Danio rerio: one gene and its partners. The protein of the gene in region 2 interacts with the protein of the main gene of each other region in a pairwise test. Links are inferred from orthologs where the notes say so. Each region holds a gene or a part of one and is shown on either strand. Other genes may lie near its edges.

Region 1 (3,759 bases), on a different chromosome or scaffold from region 2:
AGTCCATTAGGCGCACCACTGCCAGGTAGCGGTCCACGCTCATGCAGGTGAGGAAGAAGATGTTGGAAAAGCGGTTAACCGCAATGATAAAGCTGCTAATCTTGCATAACACCTCACCAAAGGGCCACTCGTCATAACGGGTCGAAATTGCCCACATTGGCAGCGTGAGAACAAACACGAGGTCGGCTAGTGCCAGGTTCAGCACGAAGGTGTCTACCAGGCGTCCACTTTTCTTGCGCCGCTTTCCAATGACCACAATCACAAACAGGTTTCCCAAAGAGCCGGTGAGGAACATAATGATGTACAGCACAGGAATGTAGATGTTAGACATGGGCAGCAGTTCAGCGTCGGGAAGGGTGTAGATTGGATTCTCGTCCGTGGAATTAATTGGATAGTCATAGTCATATTCACTTGTCAAGCTCATTGTAATTCCAGAGTGTGCCATCTCTGTGCTGCTTGCCATCTGTGCACAAGTGATGGGCAATGAAGAGAAAACCTAGCAAGTCACATGATGGAAACCACAAACTGCAATAACAGGTTCTCTCATGCTCTGTTTCCTTAAAAGTTGTAAATTTAACACAAAGTGACACTTTTCTTTATATTTACACTTCTAAAATATCAATCAGTGATTTATTACATTTTTGGACTTACTGCTCTAGTGTAATTACTTAAAACATTTGAAAAGGCTGTTTTTGCTCATAATGAGCTTATGTACATTTAAAGATGGACACCAGAAGAATCTTTGAGACTAAATAGTTCACAGAATCTTTTGTTTCATAGTAGGAAGAACAGTGTCATTCAATCTAAAGAAGATTTTTGCATTTTAAACAACTTTTAGTGGGATGAAAATGCTTCATGATTGTTCTGGGATCTCCACTGAAGCACCGATGGGAATAAAGATTTTAAGAATTCCATATTTTGTATATGTAATAAATCAAATGTGAGTGCCATGGGATTTTATTGAATGATTTAAAGCAGTTTTCTCATAAATGCGTAAACACTTCCTCTTTGTCAGTATAAGACGAAAAAAAGCACCTTGCAAGCAGTTAAAAGAAAAAAACGGTTGATGTCATGCCTTTTAGTTTTTAATTCAGCTTTGCAACAAACTAAAGAATAAAGTGCAGAGCTTATTTGAGTCATGTGTGATGTTGTGGTTTCCTGGGTTTTACTCTGCATTTTCTAAACTTTAAGACCTTTCAGGCTCAGACTGGATAAGACAAGTTTAGTATAGACATTTAGCTTTCAAAAGCACCAAAAGTTCACTGATGATCAAATTAGTAATCCTTCGGTGAAGTTCTTTTTTAACAAACAAACTGATGTGTAAAGAAAGGGTCTCACAGTTAAATTTAAAGCAACCAGTTTTCTGCTGGTCAGTGTGGCAAATTCATGTGGTGAAATCTTGTGGGAATTTTTGTACTCTCAAGCTAAATCTTAGATCGACATGCAAATGAGTGGATTTCAAAAGTGTAAGTATAACTGTAACACTTATAATATAACTTCACACTTCGTGACAGGTGAATAGACAACAAGAAAAAAGAAAAGTGAGATAATTTCACACAATTGAAAACCTAAAAGGAAAGCTTTTTTAATCAGTATTAAGAAATGTAAGGTGCATTCCAGTGTTTTATCTTACAAAACATCAGTTTTATTTAAATTTGTGTGTGTGTTTCAGTTCTTGTCACTTGTAGGGTTTATCGCAAGCTGGGTTTAGTGGGACCTTGGCAATAAGCTGGATAGTCGAAGATTTCCCGTGCTGATATGTTTGCAAGTCATTAGAAAGACAGTGCCCTTTATTAAAGATATGCGCAACACTGTACAGAAGCCACAAAACAGATCTTTTAAATTCATTACTATCATTCAATATTTATAACATTAAATATTTATTTAATCATGACAAAAAAAATTAGCACAAAAAGAAAGCATTTTTAGACTATTCTGAATATTCTGCCCTGGCAATGGTGTTCAAAACCAAAGCTGACAGATAGTTAACAGAAATAAAGCACCATCACACTTTCTTCTTGCGAATGTGAAGCACCTTTACTTGATTTGCTTGTAAAACTAAAAAGGAAAAATACAAAAGGTAAAAATTACAAAGTGATTACGAAATATCACAAATAATATACATCTTTCACATTTGTAAACATAAACTGACATATTTAAACTGATATCAAACAGCTAAATAAACAATCCAGGCACTTTAATGACGTGCATCTATATGCAAGCTTGTTAGCATTTAAACAGAACATCAAGCATTAAACATTTCAACACTGACCCTCCTTAATCAATTTAACCCAAAGGAAGTATTGCAGATGTTTTCAAAATAAAATTAGTAACTTACAGTCGTTTCTATCACAAGGGCTAAAAGCAAACAACAAGTCGCGTCTCTGCATGGCGATCACAGTCTCTTCTTCTATGACTTTTTAAATATCCGGTTGTTCTAAAGAATGGCGCAATGACATTTTCACAATTACACCACTTAAATAAATCAATGCACAGCTTACCAAACGAATCAACACCATACAGTACACTCCCCGCCTGGTGTATTGCATATACCACTATGCTTTTAATCACTAGATAAAAGTAAAGCTACGTCACATATAGGCCATAAGTACTCCCTGACAGCCCCTTGCTTAGCAGTCTTTACCATAACCTTTCGGACTTTCCCATCAGATGAGGCTACGGTTTTTGTTACGAGGCCATTTGGCCACTCACTGCGCTTAGCTTCCCCATCCTTTAACAGAACAACGTCTCCTTCCTGAATGTTATCTCTCTCCTCAGTCCATTTTCTTCTGGATTGCAAGGTGGACAAGTACTCCTGCTTCCATCGCTTCCAGAATGAATCTGCTAACATCTGGACTTGACGCCACTGACTTTTGTGCAAGTGTCCTAACTCAAAGTTTCCTGGTGGAGTTGGGGCAACACTTGCTTTCTGAGTTAAGAGCATTGCTGGTGAGAGCACTTGAGGCATACTTGCATCTGTAGAAATTGGGGTTAAAGGTCGGGAATTCATAATGGCCATGACTTCTGCCATTATGGTTGTTAAGACTTCATGTGTGAGTCTTGTAGCAGATTTTACTAAGAGCGCTTCCAGAATACGTCTGGCTATCCCCATCATTCTTTCCCACACACCCCCCATATGAGAGGAGTGTGGAGCATTGAATGTCCAAGTGCAGCTTTGATTCTGCAAGAACCCTTTTAGCTCAGAGTCGCCACTGTCGATTTGGAGTTCTTTCCCTGCTCCAACAAAATTCGTCCCTCTGTCTGATCAAAAGTGCTTTACTGGCCCTCTCACAGCCAAAAAATGTCTCAAAGCACAAATAAAGCTTGACGCTGATAAAGATTCCATAACTTCCAAGTGAACTGCTCTACTACTCAAGCAACTGAATATGACAGCCCATCGCTTGTTCTCAATGTTGTGCCCTCTTGTTTTGCGTGTCACCACAGTGAAAGGTCCAAAAACATCAAGACCTGTGTATGTGAAAGGTGGATCTACAGAAAGCCGGTCTGGGGGCAGAGCCGACATCTTCTGACTTTCCATTTTACCTCTTAGCTTTTTGCATAGGACACATTTGTGGATGATATTTGAAATGCGTCTTTTACCGCTGACAATCCACAATCCAGCACTACGTATAGCGCCCTACGTAAAATGCCGTCCTTGGTGAGCCACTTGATCATGATAATGCTGAATTAAAAGATCAGTCACATGATGGCTAGATGGAAGGATCAAGGGATGTTTCTCTGGATCTGAGATGTCAGCGC
Region 2 (3,659 bases):
GTCAGCAAGCTTCAGAAAACACCCAATCTTTCATTCTACAGATAAAACAAATCTAAAACATAACTAAGCATAATTTTATGTTCCAAAAAAGAAGAAAAATTCCTCCAGATTTTTCGTTTTTCATTTTAAATGAACTACCCCTTAAGAGCTTTCGCCTCCAATGAGCTACAGTTAATCCACAAAAAAAGTGCTGACTTTGATAACACCCAATCCCCCACGGTGCCCTCTCTTCTGTCTCTCTAAACAGTAGGAACAGACAGCAGCCTGTCGACAGCGCCAATACTCTAAGCAGGCCACCCAGGAGAGAATGAAAAGGTGCTGCTCTATATGATCGGAAGGGGAGGTTAAGACCTGCACGCATCTGGATCAACTTAACAACACCTGCTGACTGCAAAGACCCGCACACTTACCGCAAATACAGCCACACTTAAATGTATTAAAATCCACCTATAAAGTATTCGCCGTGATTAAACACGAGCACACATGTGCTTCCTCACCTGTTGGCATTTTCAAGCGTCTCAACTTTCTTCCAGAGTTCATTGTTCTCTGAAGTGTAGTTCTCCACTCTGAAGAGGAGTAAAAGAGAAAGAGTGTGTTATTGCGCACGGTCACATTGAGATGCATTTACAAAAACGTTTCCATAAGTATGACCACATATAAGCAAGAAAAGCCAGTGTGTGAGTGTGTCCAGTGTGAGTCCAGTCTCTCCAGCACATTATCCAAACCCTGAGAGCCTAACAGCAGCACAAAAGGGAAAATGACTCATGCAAACGCGCGCAAACACACACACACATACACCAATGAGTGCATGGACTGTAGCCATTGGCCATATTCACACAATAAAAGCCATAAAACAGCTAGAAGGGTATAGCGCATTTTGAGGGTATGCTGGGGTGAGAATGACGAGAGGATTAAAGGAGAGGAGGTCATCGAAGAGAACGAAGGATGAAGGCACAGAGAGAGTGGATGCTGTTGGATAAACAAAGCAAAAGAGAGGAAGGGAAAATAAGAGCAGAGGAGAAAAGGACAGCAGTCAGAATGCAGGAGAGAGAGAGAAAAGAGGTAGAGAACAAAGCATTTAAGAGAGAGAGAGAGATAATAGAGTGGAATTACTTCTTCTCCAAACACTCCACATATTCCTTCTTCTTCCTGCGGCTTTCCTGTGCAGAGATCTAAGAAAAGAATGTAAAAAATATTATAATGAGCGTAAATATATTATTCATATATTAATACAGTGGCTAGAGTAAGTATTGAACAGCTCATGATTTTACTTGGTATACAGTGCTCAGCATAAATGAAAATAAATATACTTTTATGCAGTTCTCAGTGAATGTAGACAATATATTTTAAGGAATTAATAGCAGTTTCATCAAACAGTTATATCAATTAAAATAAGAGTTGGTAACTGAATATCCTTAGGAATAGAAAGTTAATAAATTTAAAATCAAATTAGTGGGAAAAAAATGCTATATAATAATTTAATTGTATATTATTCTGTATATTATTTACAGTGCTTAGCATAAATGAATACACTCCATTTTGAAAATGAATATTTTTATCCATTTATCTGTGAATATGGGTAATATTGGTGCATTTAAACAAAACAGATTTATTAAACAGATACATTTGTTAAAATAATACTTTAGTCACCAAACATCTTTAAAAATGGAATGATGATACAATAAATTCATGCAAAATATAAAAAAAAAATTACAAACTAACAACATTTTAACAAAATTGCATACATTTTTTGTTTATCTTGATTTGTTTCTGTTTTTGAAAATTCATTCATTCATTAATTTTCTTTTCAGCTTTTTTTTAGCCTTTATTAATCCGGGGTCGCCACAACGGAATGAACCGCCAACTTATCCAGCAAGTTTTTACACAGCGGATGCCCGTTCAGCCGTAACCCATCCCTGAATAACCAAGATTTGGCTTCAGTACTGACTAATCTAATGTATTTGCATAAATATAATATTGTACAGCTTCCTAGAAAATATAAATATGTACTTATATATGCTAAGCACTGTATATATATTTCTAACATATTAATTTGGGTGTACCAATATTTTGACTAATCTTAAGTTTTTTTGTTAGAATTGTTCAAGTTTCAGAAAAATATTTTAGAAAAAAATTGATTCATAAGAGAGATCTGTGAGGGGTGTACTTGTTTATGCTCACTGTTTATATTTCTAAAGGAGCTGTTCACATGAAATTGACCCAGATTTTGGTTTAAAAAATGTTAAAAACACCCAAACATACAAGTAATGCAAAAAAAAATCTTTAAAAAGTGTTATGTGTAAAAACATGGAATGGCAAAAGGAGAAAGTAATGAACTACTGAAATATATTGAATATTTTGCATAAAAGGCTTTTTTGTTAGTGGTAGCTTTGGAGAATTTTGCATTCTTCAGGTGTGATTTTCACACTTCAATAGACTTTCTACTAACTACTGAGAGAATTCATCTGCTATCTGGGCTTTCCATTCCTTTTTCCACCTCTATTTCTTCATGTGTTCAATATTTTATATACAATTATATGTATATATTAACCAAATAAAATTTCATATTAACATCAAAAGTACTGTAGGATTTTTTTCTTTGATCCATAAATTATTTCCATATACAGGAAATTTTCACAGTATGTCTGATAATATTTTTTCTTCTGGAGAAATTCTTATTTGTTTTATTTCGGCTAAAATAAAAGCAGTTTTAATTTTTTAAATCCATTTTAATTACTAGCCCCATTAAGCAAATTTTTTTCGATAGTCTACAGAACAAACCATCGTTATATATAACTTGCCTAATTACTCTAACCTGTCTAGTTCACCTAATTAACCTAGTTAGGCCTTTAAATGTCACTTTAAGCTGTATAGAATTGTCTTAAAAAATATTTAGTCAAATATTATTTACTGTCATCATGGCAAAGATAAAATCAATCAGTTATTAGATAAGAGTTATTAAAACTATTACGTTTAGAAATGTGCTGAAAAAATCTTCTCTCCGCTAAACAGAAATTGGAGAAAAAAATAAACAGGGGGGCTAATAATTCTGACTTCAACTGTATATGCACAAAACTTATATAATAAGAGACTTGTTTTAATAACCAAGTTATTTCAATATTAATAGTATGTAATCATTATCAATACCTTATTTTTGATTTTCCTGCGCACCCGTTTGAGTGCTTTCTCTTCGGTTTTGGTGAGCGGTAGTTTGTTGGGGACAGGATATCCCTCAGCGATCAAAGTCCTCTTTTCTTCCTCTGTCAGCATCAAAGGGCCTGATGTTCCCTGCAGCTTCTGCATTTCAACACAAGACAGAGTTTCACTTTAAATAGAACTGCTTAAGACGTAACTGTATGCAAATTTCCATTAGGAATATATGTGTATATAGTGTGGTGTGTCATGTGCCGCATTGATTAGCACTCACGTGCGGGGCGGTGAGGAGAGGGGATGAGGAGATAGCAGTGGAGGTCCGGGCCTGTAGCCGGGCAGGGCTGGAGGGTGGCAGTGAATGTGGGCTCTGCAGGTGGCCAGGGCTTAATGGTGGCAGTGAATGTGGGCTCTGGGATCCATCACTGTCGCTGCCATGGCTGCTGGGAGGAGTTGGCGGCAACCGCAAATGCTCTTCTGTTGGGACACACAGATAATCTTGATACAGC
Region 3 (3,659 bases), on a different chromosome or scaffold from region 2:
TCAAATTTTTTAAATTTCAATGAAGAAAAAACTGAGCTGGTCTGGTTTGGCGATCCTAACCCTCTGCATTTATCAGGTTTTGGTGAGCTTTCCACTTATCAAAAACCTGTTGTTAGAAACCTAGGATTTCAATTCGACAGTGATCTGAAATTTAACAAACAAGTAAATACAGTTGTTAAATCCAGTTTTTACCATTTACGACTTGTGGCAAAAGTAAAGTCGTTTCTCTCTTTTAATGACCTTGAGAAGGTGATCCATGCTTTTATTCTGGGAAGACTTGACTATTGTAATTCTCTGTATGTGGGTATTAGTCAAAATGCCCTAAACAGATTGCAATTAGTACAGAATGCAGCTGCGAGACTTCTGACAGGGACTCGCAAGTTTGAGCACATATCCCCAGTTCTTTCCTCTCTGGGCTGGCTGCCTGTTAGGTCGAGAATTGATTTTAAACTATTGATCTTTGTTTTTAAATCCTTAAACAATCTGGCACCATCATACTTATCAGACCTGCTACACGTATACAATCCTGGTAGGTCACTGAGGTCTTCTGATGAATTTATTCTATCTGTACCAAGGTCCCGGTGTAAGCGAAGTGGGGATCGGGCTTTTGCTGTTGTCGCCCCAAAACTCTGGAACGGGCTTCCGCCCCACATCAGACACGCTCCAACTCTACCTGTTTTTAAAAAGCGTTTAAAACACCATCTTTGTTCCTTAGTGTTTGAGCCTTTTTAATGTTGAGGGATTTGCCTTATGTTTTAATTGTTATTTATGTGATGTAGATTTCATGTTTAGTATTGATTGTGTTCAGCACTTTGGGCAACGTTGTGTTGTAAAAAATGTGCTATATAAATAAATAAACTAAACTAACTAAACTAAACTAAACTAAACTAAACTAAGTGTATTGGGTTTGGTGAAATTAACTAATTTCCTTAAAGAATTTTAGCCATTTTAATATCTATCAAATGTTCAACTTTTGTCAATAACTTTTGAAATTCAGAGAGAATTTTCATGCAGTAGTTTGGCCCCAATTGGCAAATGACTATGCAAAATTACATTTCAAATGTGCCCAATAATTTTGTCAATCTTTGATAAAGATTATAATTAGCAGTGCGTTTTAATTATAAGTGTTTTAAAGATCAACTTGAATGTGAGATCTAAATGTTATAAGAGGGGAATTGAGCACCATAATCAATAATTCACAATATAAACTGTTGAGTGATACTGTAAACGTGTATCATATGTTCATATTATACAAGTATATTTCTGAAGCTTGCTACGAACAGTTTAAAACACGAAAAACTATTCTAACAAACTACGGCTTATAAAATTTGAGTTTTAGAATTCATTTGAAAAGAAATACACATTTATTTAGCAAAGACTCCTTTAAAGTTCATTCATTCATTTTCTTGTCGGCTTCGTCTCTTTATTAATCCGTGGTCGCCACAGCGGATTGAACCACCAACTTATCCAGCAGGTTTTTACGCAGCAGATGCCCTTCCAGCCGCAACCCATCTCTGGGAAACATCCACACACACATTCACACACACACACTCATACACTATGGACAATTTAGCCCACCCAATTCACCTGTACCACATGTCTTTGGACTGTGGGGGAAACTACTGCGCCACTGCCTCGACCCTCCTTTTAAGTGACATTATAAAAATTCTGCAGATAAATGCAATTTCTGCTGACATTTTAGACACTTTTTAAGTTTTAAACCTCAAAAACACTTTACAAGAAATACAATTTTCTTCATATCTTAAATCTGATTAATGGTGACCATAAAATTCCCCAAATATTAGCAATCAATTATAGTTCATAATAATTTCTGAGTTGATTTTAAAATCATTTCTCATAAACCATTGAGGGAAATTAGGGTGGGGTGAAGAACAGAGATGTTGCACTCACTTCCTTCTTCACAGTACGTGTTGTGCCGCCTGTAGAAGTAGACCGCCAACACACAGCAGCCGCCGTTGAACAGGAAAAGGCGGAGCTTAAACCAGTACGACATCATCTCCTGGTGACAAAGCGGGTTCGTGAAGAAAGAGAAGAGAGAAAAAAGAGAAAGAAGACACACAATGTCATCAGTTCTCTTCTGCAACGCGATGTGGAGCAAGCAGGTGGAGCGCGGCTCTATGAAAATACTGCAACCACTTCCCCCAGAGCTGCACTTTCACAGCAGCACAAATATACAGACACACTGCGGTCTTTGACACATTAACTCCCAGAATTCTCACCCGGCGGCGCAAAAGCAACACCTTTTATTAGAGCTGTGCGAGTGGTGTCAAGATCACTTGTGTGTTAAGAGCGTAGCTGAATAATTAGAGAAAGTCTATGTATGAGAATATAAGCTGAGTGTAAAATTGAACAGTAAAAGATTCACATGTTAAAATCACATGTGAGATGTGCATGAAATGTTTCACATGTGATTTTAACATGAGGTTCACAAGATGTTTATTAGACGCTAGAGGGTTTTTTTTATGGGATGCTAATCTGTTTTTTTTTTTCTTATCCCCTCATTTTGTTTGAATGCCTAAAAAATTATTGCTGGGCAAAAATATATTGCGATTAATCACATCCTAAATAATAATAAAATTGTACACACTTATTATATATATCTATCCATGTAACACAATTGTTTTGTATGGTTTTGTTTCTATGCATGTGTGTATCACATATACATATTAAGATCCTGGATCTTTTAATCTTGATAACAGATCTCTGGCTAATTTGGTTCTTCAAGCAAGTTCGTGATTAGATAAACATTTCTGGATAAGCTGATCTGAGATCAATGCATGTGTTGTGAAGGACTGATCTGTCGATCATCAAAATCATGATCAGCAATGAAACGATTAGCTGACAGCACAGCAGTGTAATGACATCATCTGATTATTATTCAATTACTCATGTGAGCAAAATTATATAAAATTCATTGTAAACGGTTTTTTAAATATAAATGTTTATGTTTGTATATTTGTTAAATACGCAATAACTTTCCACCTTTGTTGTGCACCACAGGCTTTATACTTTTATGTGTCGAGAGTATTTAGCAATTTATTTATTTTACATTAGAGCAGATTTTCTTTATTATAGTAGCCAAGCCCTATTTAAGTTTCTTAATCTGCATAAGGAATAACTGTCTGTTTATTTTAATTTTGCATCAAAAACATTTTGATATGGGTAAAGGTGTCCAGAGCTTTTGTGAAGCATCAAATCAAGCATATTAGATGTCAAAAAAATGTGCATGACTGCATAAATTATTATTCCTTAAAAAAAACAAAAAAACATGGGTCCGTTCTTCATACCTCGCTTAAATGATCTAAGATGATTTGGCAGATCCTGGATCTTTTCATCTCGATAACTGATCTCTCACTAATTTGGTTCTTCAAACAAGCTCGCGAATCAGATTAGAATGTCTGGATGAACTGATCTGAGATCGCTGCGTGTGTTGTGAACGACTGATCTATCGATCCTCGAAATCATGATCTGCAATGCAACGATTGGCTGATGGCAGCGTAATGACATCATCTGATTAATATTCAATTATCCATGTGAGCAAAATTACATCAAACTAGCAGTAAACCGTGTTAAAAGACACGCAATAACCTTCCACATTTGTTGTGAGCTGCAGGTTTTACACTTTCATGTGTCAAGAC

Evidence for each region.
Region 1: the proteins of creb3l1 (region 2) and gpr25 interact in binary tests that used the Homo sapiens proteins (3 or more experiments, as listed by UniProt). The two-hybrid records come from large-scale screens. The link is inferred for Danio rerio from reciprocal best matches to the Homo sapiens genes CREB3L1 and GPR25.
Region 3: the proteins of creb3l1 (region 2) and pgap2 interact in binary tests that used the Homo sapiens proteins (3 or more experiments, as listed by UniProt). The two-hybrid records come from large-scale screens. The link is inferred for Danio rerio from reciprocal best matches to the Homo sapiens genes CREB3L1 and PGAP2.

What each region holds. Positions count from the first base shown.
Region 1 is NC_133186.1:26,792,290-26,796,048, reverse strand, and holds the start of gpr25 (probable G-protein coupled receptor 25), read right to left. Parts: upstream 2,415-3,759; 5' UTR 464-2,414; coding exon 1-463. UniProt on the Homo sapiens protein: Orphan receptor.
Region 2 is NC_133182.1:39,151,843-39,155,501, reverse strand, and holds part of creb3l1 (cyclic AMP-responsive element-binding protein 3-like protein 1), read right to left. Parts: intron 3,628-3,659; coding exon 3,519-3,627; coding exon of another isoform or gene 3,450-3,518; coding exon 3,428-3,449; intron 3,298-3,427; coding exon 3,148-3,297; intron 1,173-3,147; coding exon 1,114-1,172; intron 567-1,113; coding exon 498-566; intron 1-497.
Region 3 is NC_133196.1:33,641,255-33,644,913, forward strand, and holds part of pgap2 (post-GPI attachment to proteins factor 2), read right to left. Parts: intron 2,021-3,659; coding exon 1,912-2,020; intron 1-1,911.